Linked DNA regions of Drosophila melanogaster. The protein of the gene in region 1 interacts with the protein of each later gene in a pairwise test. Each region holds a gene or a part of one and is shown on either strand. Other genes may lie near its edges.

Region 1 (6,978 bases):
TGCTCATAGCGAATAAATGACGCTTTTCAATATTGGCATCTGATAGCAAAGGGTTTTTCCTTGCAACTCTTGAAGAGTACCTATGGCGTAGGATGACTTGGCGCACAGTTTCGTGTGACACAGTTAGGTGACATTCTTGCCTGATATCCAGAGCAAGTGATCTGACCGAGATTCGGGGGTTCGCAATCACTATTCGCATAATAAAGCGGTCTACACGCTTTTTAATTTTAATTTTCCGCCCACCACCACTCTTAGGTTCAAGCCTGCCCTCTTTTTCCGAGCCTTTTAAAACATTGTAGACGGTCTTACGGGATACAGGAAACATTTATACTAATTCTGGAAAAGATTTTCCCAACTGGTGGTTATAGTTTATTAATTGGGTAACTTCAAAAGTTAATCTCTTTCCAGGCATTTTATTAAATTTAATAATTCGCTTTAAGCACGTTTGATCAGCAAAATTTCACAAGCAAAGTCAACAAATTTCAATAGAAGCGTTGTAAAAAGCAATGTAAAGCCAAAAATAACGGAAAAATCGAGTTCGTTCTAAGAAAAAGAACAAAACAAAGTAGGAAAACAAAATGTGTAAAGAGTTTCTTGACAGTCTCAAAAGTGTGTAAACTTGGAATTTGTTGTTTATTTTCTTGTATATTTAATATTTTTAATTTGTTTTTTGATTTATAAGTAAAATAAATATTGTTTAATTATATTTTATAAAAAAATTGCGTTTAATTAAGCAAAAAACCCTTTATTTTTAGCTTTAAAGTCAAAAATTCAACTTATTTCACAGTGTGTAAACAGTTTCTTGACAAACTGTATGTGTCGCAAAGAATTCCGGGGAAAAACACGTTTCTTCTCAGTTTATACCCTACGTGCGAGGCATATGATTTGTCCTATCAGCCTGTTGGAACCGCTAACTCATATATTCCTTAATCTAACCAAAAACAAATTTTGCGTCGTATTTGTGAATAATGCACCGATTGATTTGATTGATTGCTTTAAGAGCGGCAGAGAGCAAAGATTACAGATAATAGGATAATGACTATTATAGTCAGAACACAATATTCTGTAAGAATCATGCAACTTATAGTTAGATCTAAATGGGCTTAAGATTATGGGTCTTGGAACAGAGAAGTTTAGCCGACTAACCAAGTCGGGACTATCAAAATATAAGTCTCAAAGCCTCACTCACTAATATACCCTACGTTCTCTTCTTTCAGAGGACGAATCCTATGAACTGTCCTCGGAAATCTGGGCCGTCGACATGGAGATCACTGACAGCGAGACCGACGACGTGCCCGTCAGCAGGAGCGTTAGCGTCAGCGCGAACGTCAGCGGGAACGTCAGCGGGAACGTCAGCGGGAAAGTCAGCGGGAACGCTAGAGGAGCCTTCAGCGGGACCCTCAGCCAGACCGTCAGCGCTACCGTCAGCGGGACCGTCAGCGCGACCGTCATTGGATTGGTCATCAACGAGTTCGTTCCAATGCCATTCAGTGGGACTCTCAGCGGGATCCTCAGCGGAACCCTCAGCGGGACCGTCGAAGGGACCATCAGCCGGACCGTCGACGGGGCCGTCAGCACGACCGGCAGCGGAACCATCGAAGGGACCGTCAGCGGAACCGTCAAGGGGACCGTCCGTGGGGCTATCAACGGGACCATCAGCGGAACCATCAGTGGGACCGCCAGCGGTACCGTCAGAAGGACCGCTGACGGAAAGCTCATTTTTGAGACAGGTGCAAGGTTGAACAATCGAAAATTCATTATCCACGAAATCTGTGGAATGAATTGTGAAATAACTCTTTGAAATTACAAAGTTTTTGAGATACATAACACGCTCTGTGAACAACCATGACTATGAGGTACCCGTTACTCAGCTAGTCGGATTGCGAATAAAATGAGAAAAAATTAAAATTGTTTAAAGATGTGGGTGTGATTACAATCCAAAAGGTGCAAGGTGCAAGGTGAACAATAAAACTAAGAACAATCTAATGTGGGCGTTGGAGTGGTCATGGAAACATGGGTCAACAATCTTGGGCTGCGTCTATGTCTCTGGAATCTGCACGCTTAATCTAAACATTCTAGCTTAAATAGTTCCTGAGATCTCGACGTTCAAACGTACAGACAGGCGGACATCGCCAGATCGACTCGGCTACTGATCCTGATCAAGAATATATATACTTTATATGGTCTGCCTGTTACATACTTTTCAACGAATCTAATAAACCCTTTTACTCTACGAGTAACGGGTATAACTATGTCATTATCTCAAAAACTGTGGATAATTCTTTTAAATAAAATGAAATAAAATGCTGCAGCCCTGGAAAAAAACCTATTCCTATTTACCCACTTATTGTAATGCATTTCTTTGTGGGTATTTTTCGCTGAGGCCAGCCATGGTCACTCTGCTGTAGACAAGTGCATAAACATTTCATCCAGGTGAACAAAAAGTAAATAAAGAACAATTTTAACCGCACTGCAACCCAACGGCGAGCATTAATAAGAAACTTCTCCACGATGGCTTCATTTTTCAACGTTGGCGCCTTGGGAAATGTTTTCTCCACTCCAGTTGGCCAGCGCATAGGTGAGTAAACCACCCTCCCCCCTCCAGCGTAAAAAAAACACCCACCGGAAGCGGGGGTGTGTGTATATGTGGTTAAAGCGTAATATTTTCCACAAATACAACGCATATGCGTTGATATTTACGCATTTACATTGATAGTTATCTGATTAGAGGACGCTTCAAGGCAGTCCCAATCAGACTGGGCCATTGGAAAATTGAATTTTCACAACTTTCTTCGTGCGTTTGCTTGTTTTCTTGTTTTGTTGTTGGTCTCTCACACACACGCGCACATTTCCATGTAGCGATACTCATTTGTTGTTGCCAGACCATTACTATGGCAAAGCGGTCTGATTTGATTTGAAAGGCGGTGGCAACAACGGTGGGCCTCTGATAAGATTAACCCTTATATGAGTATGCGGTTCCAACAGGCAGGTGTGACAAATCAGATAAATGTTTGTTGGTATGCTTTATGAAATTGCTCACCTTTTGGCACGCACACAAAGAGTATTGTTATTGATGCGCTCTTTTATTGTTTGATTGCCTGTTTTCCCTTCACCCCCTCCTGGCGGCCACCTGTTTTGCGCCCTTAGTAATCGCAATTAGTCATCGTTGCCGCTGGCCGCTGGGTTACATAAAAAAATGTGTTAATTTATTTCGTGTTCCCCTTTGGCTCGCATTTTCGCCATAATTTCCATTTGCCGCTGCACACACAACAAACACAGATACACACATTTACGTGCAATCGTGCATATGTATTAGTGCCGTACTAATTTGTTGCTTCGCTTTTTTTATGAGCTCACATTTTGTTATTGTATTGCGGTTGGTTAGCTTTTCCCATATCTCCTATATCTGTTGGATATCAGTGTTACGATATCTGATATCTGAGAAATACACTTTGCGCAATGGTTTCGTTTTGGATTTAAACAAATTGCTTTGTGCATTTTTAATTCGAGCAAGTCATTGCACTTGGTAGATCCTAAATTATAAACGAAAGATAATGCTCGCCCACCTGTTAAAAAACACAGTTTCAGCCGCCCATAAAAACAAACAAAGGAATGCAAATTGTTTACTTGGGTTTTCACACAGAAAACGAAAAAAATAATTACATCTTTCGGATCAAAAACCGCACAATTTACTTGGAATTATAATTAAATATATTATTATAATTAAAATGTAACGAGCGTTTTCAGAAATAAGATACAAATTTAAAAAAAAAAAATAGGGATACCTTTTTTGTTTTTGTATTTATATTACATGAAATATTGTTGCAGTTTTTTTTTCTGGAAGAACGATAGATTTAAAAAGATCTTAAGGTGTCAACTAATACTTACCTTCTCACCTTTCAGAGGCCGCCACCGATGCCAACCTGGCCTCGGAGAACTGGGCCGCCAACATGGAGATCTGCGACATGATCAACGAATCCTCCGACACTGCACGCGATGCTATGCGTGCCATTCGCAAACGCCTCTCCCAGAACGCCGGCAAAAACAACCAGGTGGTGATGTACACGCTGACCGTCCTGGAGACATGCGTGAAGAACTGCGGCAAGGCCTTCCATGTCCTGGTGGCCCAGAAGGACTTCATCAACGAGCTGGTCAAGCTGATTGGGCCCAAGAACGATCCACCAGCCGCCATGCAGGAGAAGGTTCTCAGTCTGATACAAATCTGGGCGGATGCGTTTAAGAACCAACCGGATCTCAACGGCGTCACCCAGATGTACATGGAATTGAAAAACAAGGGCATCGAGTTTCCAGCCAACGATCTGGATGCCATGGCACCCATTTACACGCCACAGAGGGTGAGTCGCTGAGGAATCCTCTTTACTTTAACCATAATAAATGCTTTCATATGCCTTTTAGAGTGTTCCCGAGATGCCCCCTCAGCTGGTGGCCGCTCAGCAGCACACAATCTCGCCTCAACACATGGCTGCCGCTGCTGCCGCCGCAGCTGCAGCCGCAGCTCCACCCAGCACAGGTCCTTTGCATTTGACTCCCGAGCAAGCGGCTAAGCTGCGCTCCGAACTGGAGATCGTTAGCAACAATATGTCCATCCTCAGCGAGATGCTCAGTGTTCTGAAGCCCGGCCAGGAGTCGCCCGATGACTATGCCCTGCTCAATGAGCTCACCTCGACCTGCAAGGAGATGCAGTCTCGCATCGTGGATCTGATTGGACGTGTCCAGGACGACGAGCTCACCGCGGAGTTCCTGCGCATCAATGACGAGCTGAACAATGTGTTCTTGCGCCACCAGCGTTACGAGAAAAATCGTTCGCAGGGCCAGGGTGCTGGTGTTACCTCGCCCTCGGCTGTGCTGGGCGCAGCCATGGGCCTGCCCGGTGTGGGAGCAGCTGGAGCAGGAGCCACCACGGTGGCTACGCTACCACCTCCGCCCACAACTACCGCCGTGAGCAATACGCCGCAAAGTGACCAACTGCTGATCGATCTAATCGAAAGCAGCGAGGAAGCCCAACTGCCACAGAGTTTGGGACAGATCAGCCTGGGTGGTGGAGCACCCATTGGGGTGCAGAGGAGCGCACGACCTGCCGATGAATTCGATATGCTGGCACAGTCGCGCACCGATGGCAACCAGTCAGTAAAGAGTGCTTTCCAATCGAGCTCATCAAGTATTAACAATAATTCTTTTTTTAGTAAATCGGACTTGCTGCGGGACATTCCCTCGGTGGACGCTGCTGCTGGGAGTGTGACTGCCACCGCCTCGCCTTACAAACCAAATCAACCGCAGCAGGCACAGCGCTCAGCCGGCGAACCGCCGGTGGTAAGTAAAGTGAGTAACTAGCCGCCGGACAGCCGGTCTAACTAATGGCGTTCGATTTGTTCCCTTACCTTTTGACCTCGTTTTCGCCATTGATTTACACTATGTGTCTAAATTTGAAAATATGTTTTGGTTCTTTTTTGTTCTATGCAAATTGCGTTTGGTTTTCGTTTCGTTTTGTTGTTCGGTTGGCGCCCACACACAGTCGACGAAAGAGAATGAGATCGACGAGATGGAGGCGTGGTTGGGCAGCTCAGTAAGTAGCCATTCGAATAGCATTTTGTCTTTTTCTAAGCTCATCTTACCATGCACTCGGCTTCAGTTTCTCGATTTACATACTATTCCTTTGCTTCTTAGCTTCTGTCATCCATTTTCGAGTACTTAATATGACTAATGAGTCATTTGTTTCCACCACACAGCACATCGAGGGAATTGAGGAGCTGACCAGCTCGGAGTTTGACAAATTCCTAGAGGAGAGAGCCGCTGCCGCCGAGAATCTTCCAACGATCAGTGCATCGAACTCCGCCGCCAGTGCCACGACAGGATCGGCAGGAGCCGATAGCTTACGAAAGACACCAAAGAAACCGGGCGCCGAAGAGGATCTGCTCGCGCTCTGAGTGATCTCCGCCAGCACCATCATCGGCTCTAATTGTTTACTCTTTCAAATGTTATACACACCCTAACATACTTATCCGTAACGTCTATTTGATAGCAGATACATAGTAACACTTTATGTAAAATGCTTTTATTTTTTACAAAAACAGCAACGATAACTATTGATTATATTCCAAAAAAACAAGCGATCTTTTGTTGGTCTAATTGTAAGCCACGTCTACACATTGATGGTAATTTAATGTATTACGTTACAAGTCTATTTGTTGTTTATTTATACATACATTATAAAGCTAATTTATTTTACAAAATCGAAAAGAAAAACTAAAACAAAATGGAAATACATTTCAAGCACATACCGATTTCGTCTTTGTTTAAATATTTATATTACTAAGGGGCTTAATCTGAGTCGTTATCTATATTCATGACTTGAGTAGCTGCTCCGTAGGCATCGTCCTCGTCATCAGAAAAAATCCTTTGATTATTCTTTGCTCTTGATACTTTCCCGGATCGTTTTTCCAACTGACTCTCTAAATCCCGGATGTGGGCCTTTTTGCTGTTCAAAAGCAGCAGGAATTTCTTGAGAAGTTCCTCCTCCTTCAGCTTGCTGTCCCTCACATACTTTTCATATTCAGCCAGGGATGCGGTTGTCTGGGCGTCGGATTCGGTGGCTGGAGCTGCTTGTGGCTTCTGCTGACCAGCTTCGATGGCTGCATCCAGCATCTGGTAGCAGTTGGAGACTTTTCTAAGCGGAACATCCAAGTACAGCGTTTCGTATCCTTCGCATTTGTACACTTTGAACGCTGGTTTTTCGACATCTTCCATGGATATTTCATAATCAAATCCTTGGAGTCCCATGTGCGTAGTTACGGCACTTTTGCACTCCGCAAAGAAAGCATCGTAGGCCTGTTCCAATTCACTGGCTCCACTTCGAAACTCATCGTATTTTACAATTGACCGGTAGTTTTGATTGTCAGAAGTGGTCAGGATGTCAAACTCCACGTCGTCGTCCATCCATTTGCTTCGGACATAAATAAA
Region 2 (8,354 bases), on another chromosome or scaffold:
AATTTATACAACGCATTAATGAATTTTAACTTGTCAAGCAAAAAAAGATTGTTAACAGACTATATGGACCATAAGAGTCGGTTAGACTCGACTATGCTTGTTGGGTAAACTTTACGAGTCCGACCGAAAGTTGAATGCCTTTCTAGGCATAGTTTCTTTTAAAGGAATAGGTATTTAAAGTACCTCTTATGTTGTAAAACTTACGTCATCGTTGTTGTTGCTGCTGGGATGGTTATTGCTGGTTGTTATCGAGTTGTTGTTGTTGTTAATGCTGTAGGCATTGACCATGGGCACCACCAGCACGTTGTCCCGTTCCTTGTCCAGCTTTGGCGGAGCAGCCACGTTGACCCGGTGCTGGTACCTCAGTGCCTGGGTCTTGGCCCGGTGTTCTCCACACGGATTGCGGAAGGCTGTCGCCGGGTGGGGAACTGTGGTTGTGGCTGTCAAAAGGTCGTGACTCATTGCAACGGCTGTCAATTAGCTGGCCCTGACCCCGCCTTGCTTACCTTTGCTCAGACCCGTCAGGACGCCTGTGTGACTGTCCACGGAGACCTCCATGGAATCGTTCGAGCTGCACTCACTGTGCGATGACGGGATTCCAACCTTGCCACGCTCGGCGATGGCTAAGGGGTCACGCGACACCGTCACACGCTGCAGGTCGGCACTTGCGCCTGCTTGGTGGTAGTTGAAGCTCTGCGCCGTCAGCGGATTAGCCTGGCTGATTCCCAGCCCGTATCCGCCAGGCTTCTCGCCCAGTTGGTGCTGTTGATGCCACCGCAGGCGCCTCAAGATGTCTTCCTCCGAGTCGGAGCTGGTGTTCTCGTAACGCCTTTTGCGGGCTGCGGGATACTTAAAAGTTAGCCAGTCAGCCCCAATCCCCACGAAACACGGTACTCACTGATCTTCTGCACACACTTGACTGCAAGGTGGCGCTCGTCGCAGCAGTTGATGGCATGGCGGTAGTGAAAACAGCACTTGCGACTGATGAAAAGAAACAACAGGAGCAGTAGAACGAGGACGCCGAAAAAGGCGCCCAGCAAAGTGGTCACCTCGATGGTGCCTGAAAGATTTAACAGTCACGGCTCAGGTCAGAATGGTGTGGTTTGTGGGGTGCATATACATTTTTACGTACCGAGCGTCGGAGTGCTATCCAGTCCAGAAGCGGAGGTAACAATCATCTTGGCTCATGCGAGGATCCTGGCGAACACGAGTCTACTACTCGCAACTCATTGCACCCGGACCACAAGTCAAGTCACTAAAAATTATTCTCACTGCAGCGTGAAAGCAAAAGCTCAGGAATTTGACAGCACAGCGTCGCAGGATAACTGGAATCGATTTTTCGCAAGACAACGACTAGGGATCAAAGCAAAAAAGTCGTTTGGAAGCTGGTGTACTCCGAATTACCCGTTTTTTTGGCCCTTCCGTATTTCGGAACCGTTCATCTGAGATTTGGTTGCAAAATCGTAAAACAAATTATAGAAGGAACAACTATACTGTTCTATCCTATTAATCACTTTCGATTTCTTGAAGGCACGATCCCAAAACTGCGAATCATGCAACGAGAGATTCAGAAATAAAAATCAAACGGCTCAGGATTTAATTCAACTGAATTAGGATGAGCTGCCTTAAACTCGATGGAAAAACTGCTTCAAAGCAAGCACTTTGGAGCTTAATCCCTCCACCCCCAGTGTGTGTACACACAGGGCTCGGAAAAGCTCCGTTTCGACAGTTGCATCGCAGTAACAACTGTTGCTTATTTTTTTGTGTTTGGGAGGATGATTTAAGCTGAAAACTTAGAAACGGGATTCTTTTTTATTGGTTGTGCTGTGCTGTGATTTCTTGAATTGTAATTGTTTAGAATGTCTCGAATAAAAATTCTCTCCGTGTCGTATGCATTCGAAGGTTTAAACGTTAGTCGTAGCCACGGTTTCATAAAATGTTAAGACCAAGACCGTTTGCCTGTTATTGATGTTCAAAAATTTGAACCAAATAATTAAGAAAAGCGGAATTAGTGCATCAGAATTAATGCACATTGTATGCTCCATTCAGGTAATTGTCCGGTTGTTTAAAAAAGAGCCTTATAATTTAGGTCAAAATTTTTAGAGCTACTCATGCTTACATACATGAAATGCGCTGTTATTCGATAGCAGATAACACTCCGAGCAGCAGGTATCGATAATCGCAACAATCGCTGTTCCAGCGAAAGTCATCGCTTTGACGGCACATCGCAGATTGCCCACCTCTAAAATAAATGCCTAATGAATTGGCTCAGTTCCGTTGTGCGCTTAATTTTTTGTCGCTGCTCAAACTGAATGTTTCCGCCTGTCAGAACACCGTATGCAAAACCGTGACCGCGCCCACGCCGTGCTTGAAAGTCCAATACATTTAATCCGCAATTGTGACGCAAGTAAATTTTGGATGGCCAATGCCACTGGGCAAGTGTGAGTGCCGTGTGTGCCAAATTCCGCTGAGACGCTTCTGATAATATGATTATGGCTAAACAGCTAAATATAGTGCTCAGTGCCCCCCACAAAGCGGAATACCGCGGTGGTACCGTGATACCACCTCCTTGGCGTCGATTACTTCGTTTCTTTATTGCTGGTGGAGCTAGCAGGAGGAAGAAAGCCAGTCTACGACGTCATCTTATGTCGTTTCGCTTTTCATTTCGCAGCAGTCACTCGCACACAATGAAAATCGAGAGGGTGGGATGGGGGTGGAACAGGGATTTGAAAACTCGATTTCCCGTACCAAGAGCCCAGACCAGAGTTGAGCGCGTGTCAAAACTTTTCGACACAAAGCAGCACGAAGCCGAACTGGAATCTGGCAAAGTGCAGTCTAAATACATATAATATAACGCTTTTGTATGAAAATAAAAGTTTGTCTAACCTTGAATCTAACAACCAAGGCATTTTTCGTTAGGTATATATGTGTACTTCCAAATATATAAAATATCCTCGCAGAGCTTCTAGAAAATATTCTATTGTAAGCAAGTTTTTGCAGTGGACCAGTGAGCAATGGCGTGGGAATCCCAGCTGTAGATGCTTGGAATTTCTACAAAAACTTACAATGTCGTTTCCCGGTCTTTTGAGCTTTTAAGCTAGTATTCAACTTTCAAGTCAACTCCATTTCTGTCAATCCTAATTTCTTCATACCCTTGCAGAATGTATATTAATTTCAGTTAGAAGGTTTTAACGCAGTGGTGGAGATATTTGCGACCATATCAAGTATATCTATTCCTGATCAATATCGCCAGCCAAGTCAATATCTAATTCACATTTTTTGCCAGGGTTTAAATATTTGCTACAATATAGCTCAAGCAATCGAAGTACATATGTATGTATAGTGCTCTTCGATTGGGTCAACAAACCAAGCGACTCGCTCTTCCAGCTCTTTGTCGCCGTGTGCATTTAGTCATTGATCGCGGGAAGGAGTCGCTGTGGGCCATGTCACCATCTCCATTGACAACGCAGCCTTTCTTTATTGGTGTCATTAAAATTTGTTAAATGGAAAGGTCATTAGACACAGCGGTGAAACCGGTTTGGTTTGGCGGCTTAATTTTCGGTTAACTCGACTGCATAGATTACGCACCAGCCACTTCAATTGGCTGCCAAATACCTTATGCTTATTGGTATGTCTTCACTTGCAGTATGTATATTTGCTGGCAACCACCCACCAACAAAAAAAAACTTGACCCAAAAGCGGCGAATGTTTATTTTCTCTTTATACTTGACTGACGTTCATCTTGGTGGCCAGAGTTTACTGCCAATGTCGTTCTTAGTCAGTTAAAGTGGGAGTAGATACAATTATCTTGAATCCAAGCTACCGCCTATTTTCATCCCGAACGTATTACTAGATGTTACATACTAATAGAAACAACGCTTAAAACTGGTAAATAGGTTTTTTAGTTGAACTATCAATCGTATTGTAAACTGTTAAACCTCATTGACAATTTTATAGACACAAAACGCTGATTTAGGGCTACCGCTGGAAAATTCTATTATCTGTTAGTGAATTCGTCTAAATTCATTTGTAGATCAATAAGTGAATAAATGTTTATTGTTCGTCAATTAAGTGCCATTCCACTGGTCTGTGCCTGCATACATTTAAATGTTTTTACATTGTATATTCTGCAACCACAGCACAGTTTGTGACGGTGGTCGTGCAAGTGTTTGGAGAAATCGTACGGCTGTTTCCAGGGATTGCATACGTAACTTGAGGATTTTTCTTGCTGTTTCACTTCTGTTTATTGTCTCCCCCAAGTGCACTAGGTACAAACATCGAGTCTTTCGTGGGTTAATTTCTGTGTGCTTCCAGTTTTTATGGTCCACTGCGGAATCGCACGAATGAAAAACCTCGCTTAACAATACTTAACTATCCGTATTTTTTCTATTTCAGAAGCAACATGAGCGTTTTGCGGGAGGAAACGACAACTTCCAGCCAGAGGGAGATAAGCACAAACGGCGGTGGGTTGGATTTCCCCGCAGAAGTGACGTCGCTGATTGCTGGCAACAGCTTTTGCTTAACGCCAGGAAATAACGGCGGGATCGGTGCCCAGAAAAAGGTCACTACTGGAGCGGGTCTGAACAGTACACAGAGAGGTGAGCGAGATCATCGTCCGAAATATTGAATATCCGTTAATCTAGGTTGTTTATAAAGTCTATTTTAAAGAACTTGGTATTATAAACTCAAAATTCACATTAAATTCCAAATCAGTGAGTGAAATGTTAAATAAATACAAAACACAATAATAAATCAATTAGGTTAATTTTGTACATTACGCCTTTTATAATTCCCTGCAAAGTTAAGAAACCTCTAAGTTTCTTCTGTGTTGTACTAATTTTGATATAATAAACATGTTATATTGCATTTTTTGATCTTAAGGTTCCTTTTATTTTTAGCCACTATAATTACGAAAAGATTTAATCTATTCAAACTGACTGATTTCACGGTCAGTAATCGACTTAATTTTATTTGTTACGATGCCTTTGTCCGAGATATATCATTGAAATAACGGAAACTATTTACCTAACTCCCGAATTATATAAGGTGGGCAAAATATATACTGTTTGTTTAAAATTAATATTACAGTATAAAGTACATATGTATATTAAGTAAGTATATGAGTATACATACATCTGATTAAAAAGTTGAAAATGTTCAATAGTGTGGGCGTGGCAGTTTTAATCAATAGAAATTAACAATATATACAGTCAAATGACAACAAATTAGGGGTGGGAGTGTCAGCTTTGGTTAGTTGCAAAACAAGCTTGCTTCTTATTATGAAATTTATAGTATCCGAGACCTCGACGGACATACGGACATTGATAGATCGACTCGGCTAGTGATCCTAATCCAGAATATGTATATTTTCAAGGTTCGGTGACAATCCCTCAACATTTAGAAGCATTTCTGAGTAATTTCCTTGCTCTCCTTACTGGCCGTTTATCGAAAGGGGCATCGAGTTTGCTCAATCTATAAAAACCAAGTATTTGCTTGACTTAAAGAAAACCGTTTGGTTTTAACAATTGAAAAACGAACCAAAATAGTCTTAAAATTGCTTCAAATTGCCCCAGACGTTTTTCTGGGCTAAAGTAACTTAGACAACTCTAGTTTAGCCGCCGAGTTGAGCGTTACGTCCGGAATTGTTGAATTCGTGTAATAGTTTTCACTTTGTCAATGCTGGAAGTGAAAGCCGTGAAGCCTTTAGCTACGTAATCTGTCCACACTAGGACCTGCACTATTGAAATTGTCAAGATGACCTCAAATTAAATTCTCCTTCAGCTACGGATGCCACCAAGCGCAAGAAACTAAGGTCGCGTAACGTACCACCTTCCCCATTGGCCCAAAAAACTGAAGCAGCGGCGACCTCTCTTAACCAAACGAACATCGGTGAGGTCAAGAGAACCGATATTAACTATTCCAACGATCACCTTGATGCCTGGTTGGAGAGCTGTTTACGTGATGCCACCAACGCCCAATTGTCTTCTTCATCTGAGTTTTTGGACTTCATACCGCCCACAGCACCAGCTCATAAGCAAATGTTTTTGACTCAACAGCAGCAGCTGCCGCAGCTTAAACAGCAACTACAGCAGCAGAGGCAACAGGAATTTTCGAAGCGAACCCAGCCTTACGGAGTGGGTCCAGGCACACCGTTTAGCCTGGGGATACAGCGCGTGAGTAGTTGCTATTGCAAGATATTTTGTACAACGCACACCCAACTTTATTTTATTTTTACAGAATTCGAACTCTCTTAGCCATCGATATCCGATGCTCTTCCCACCCCAGAGCCTTAACAGCTATGGTGATGGTGGCCAGGAGTTTGCAAGCTTGCCTCCCCTGAACAACATGATGGGAGGGCCGGAAGGGCTTGGGTGCGATCAGGAACCGAATTCGACGGATGTGCTGGATGGCAGCGAAAGCAATCCCAACTTTACCAAGGGGTAAGCAAAAACAATAAATTCGTAATGAATTATTAAAGAGCCGTACTTACCGTGTGATAACAGATTTCGGTTCAGCGATCCGTGCCTACTGAACCCCTCCGATAATGACTCTAAGCTGAGTGGCCAGAATACACCAGAGTGTCGAAATGTGAACAACAATGGCAGTGGCTGTGATCTGGCACATCAAAACAAATTTTTCGCGGCTCTAATGGAACAAATAAACATATTGCACGACACCAATTCCAAGATCTGCCGGAATTTGCATAATACAAAAGGTGTGTGGTTTGTAGGATTGTGTCCAGTTTAGATGTCACGATGCTTCCCAAATTACGACAAAATTACACAAATCTCTGATTTATTTTACTTGTACTCGTATGCTAATTAGAATGTGTTGCCACCCATTTCCTCTTTCTATGTACTCCCTTGCACTTGCAAACACAATCATAGTTGATATCGAAGCTTTAAAGCACTCCCCTAATAGCCAGCACTGGGCAGGTGTAGGCTTTGGGGGCATGCGGCACCGTAGAGATAGCTTAAGCGGGCTAAGCACACAAAGTCAACCTCTTATTCTTGGCAGTGGATTGGGAGGGACACACAGCCCAGCGCCCACATTTCACTCAGGTATAACATAAACGCTACCCCCAACTATGCCATGCAAAGGAGTGAGTAATAAGTTATATTCGCTTCCCATTTTTCAGGCGCCTACACTCCAGGAATGATGACGGATGTCGTGCGGGAAGTGAAGGAGGCAGCGCGCATACGCGAAGATGCACTGCTAAGTCGGTAAGAAGTCGAAAATTAAAAAGTATATTTAGAGTGTTGATTACATTTTGTTCTCAGAGTAAAATTAATGGTTGAAGAACGTCAGTGTTCCTTAAACGAGGGAAATGTCCGAATTCTGAGAGATATAGACGATCTAAAGGTGAGTGCTAAAATAAATGTGCATAAAAAGCTAAAAGCTAAAAATTCGATTTCGGTTGTAGACCCAAGTAATGCAGTTGCGACTGGAGAAAAAGGAGACTAACAAACGCCTCTCACATCTGGAATCCGAAAACAAGTGCCTTCGTCAAGCTCTGGCCGGTTGTTATAACCAGCGGCCAATCAGTAACGACATTATTTACGAAAATGACCGATCCCATGGATTCCGAAAGCCATTTCCGAATGGGGGTGGCGGCGGAGTTGTGGGTTCCGGTGCCCTCGGAATACGACGGGCAAAATCTTTAAACCTTCATTATGGAACAATGCATCAAACGCCTATCCAAACGACACACTCTTTGGAAGAGGACGACGAAATAGAAGAGGAGCAGTTAGTAGAGCAAGTAGGACTGGACGGAGAAGAATTATCCCTGACTGGCAACAACAGTTTATCGTGTTTGAACATCGGTCATCAATCTCCCTCCAACTTAACGCCTCACTCACAGATACCTAAATCAGAAAAGCAAGCAGTTAGAAGCCCTCCCTCTTTTGCGCTGGCTTCTGACCAGATCAATCCGGGAATTCCACCGCCATTGCTACCACGAAAGAAGGACCACGCTCATCTAAAGCGGGAGCGCAGCGAGGCGGCCTCCGTACGTAAGGAGACAAATCAACGTATAATTGCGTGGGTGTAGTATATGCTCTGTTCTACATTTTTAAACTAACCCATCACCGTTAACTTTCACTTGCATGGACGTTTTAAATATACGTTTAGTCACATTCTACTAATCATTTTAATCACTATCTGAGCTTGGTAACTAATCCTAAAACTTACAAATTGTACACTTCCTTTTTATCTTTCAATGGTTATTTATACTGGGCAACATTATAGCCTTGAGAAATTGGTTGAAGACCTAAGTGACCAGGTGAGAGGTAAGACAAAGAGGAACCCGACCGTATCAAGCACTGCAGCGGACATAACGCTATCATCGAAATTCA

Evidence for each region. Proteins that work in one complex are often made in the same cells at the same time.
Region 2: the proteins of CG3529 (region 1) and CG9795 interact in a two-hybrid assay, tested with the Drosophila melanogaster proteins (one large-scale study listed by BioGRID).

What each region holds. Positions count from the first base shown.
Region 1 is NT_037436.4:9,444,485-9,451,462, forward strand, and holds CG3529 (uncharacterized protein), read left to right. Parts: upstream 1-2,379; 5' UTR 2,380-2,511; coding exon 2,512-2,578; intron 2,579-3,903; coding exon 3,904-4,355; intron 4,356-4,416; coding exon 4,417-5,144; intron 5,145-5,204; coding exon 5,205-5,340; intron 5,341-5,533; coding exon 5,534-5,584; intron 5,585-5,747; coding exon 5,748-5,945; 3' UTR 5,946-6,301; downstream 6,302-6,978. Other genes in the region: Srg3 (Sting-regulated gene 3), read left to right, coding at 1,218-1,801; CG3448 (uncharacterized protein), read right to left, coding at 6,340-6,978.
Region 2 is NT_033777.3:4,317,450-4,325,803, forward strand, and holds the start of CG9795 (uncharacterized protein), read left to right. Parts: upstream 1-2,233; 5' UTR 2,234-2,337; coding exon 2,338-2,441; intron 2,442-4,395; coding exon 4,396-4,598; intron 4,599-4,898; exon of another isoform or gene 4,899-5,046; intron 5,047-5,781; coding exon 5,782-6,173; intron 6,174-6,237; coding exon 6,238-6,440; intron 6,441-6,503; coding exon 6,504-6,715; intron 6,716-6,887; coding exon 6,888-7,061; intron 7,062-7,138; coding exon 7,139-7,223; intron 7,224-7,280; coding exon 7,281-7,362; intron 7,363-7,423; coding exon 7,424-8,040; coding exon of another isoform or gene 8,041-8,050; exon of another isoform or gene 8,051-8,247; coding exon 8,248-8,354. Other genes in the region: Syt14 (synaptotagmin 14), read right to left, coding at 205-440, 507-839, 899-1,060, 1,133-1,178.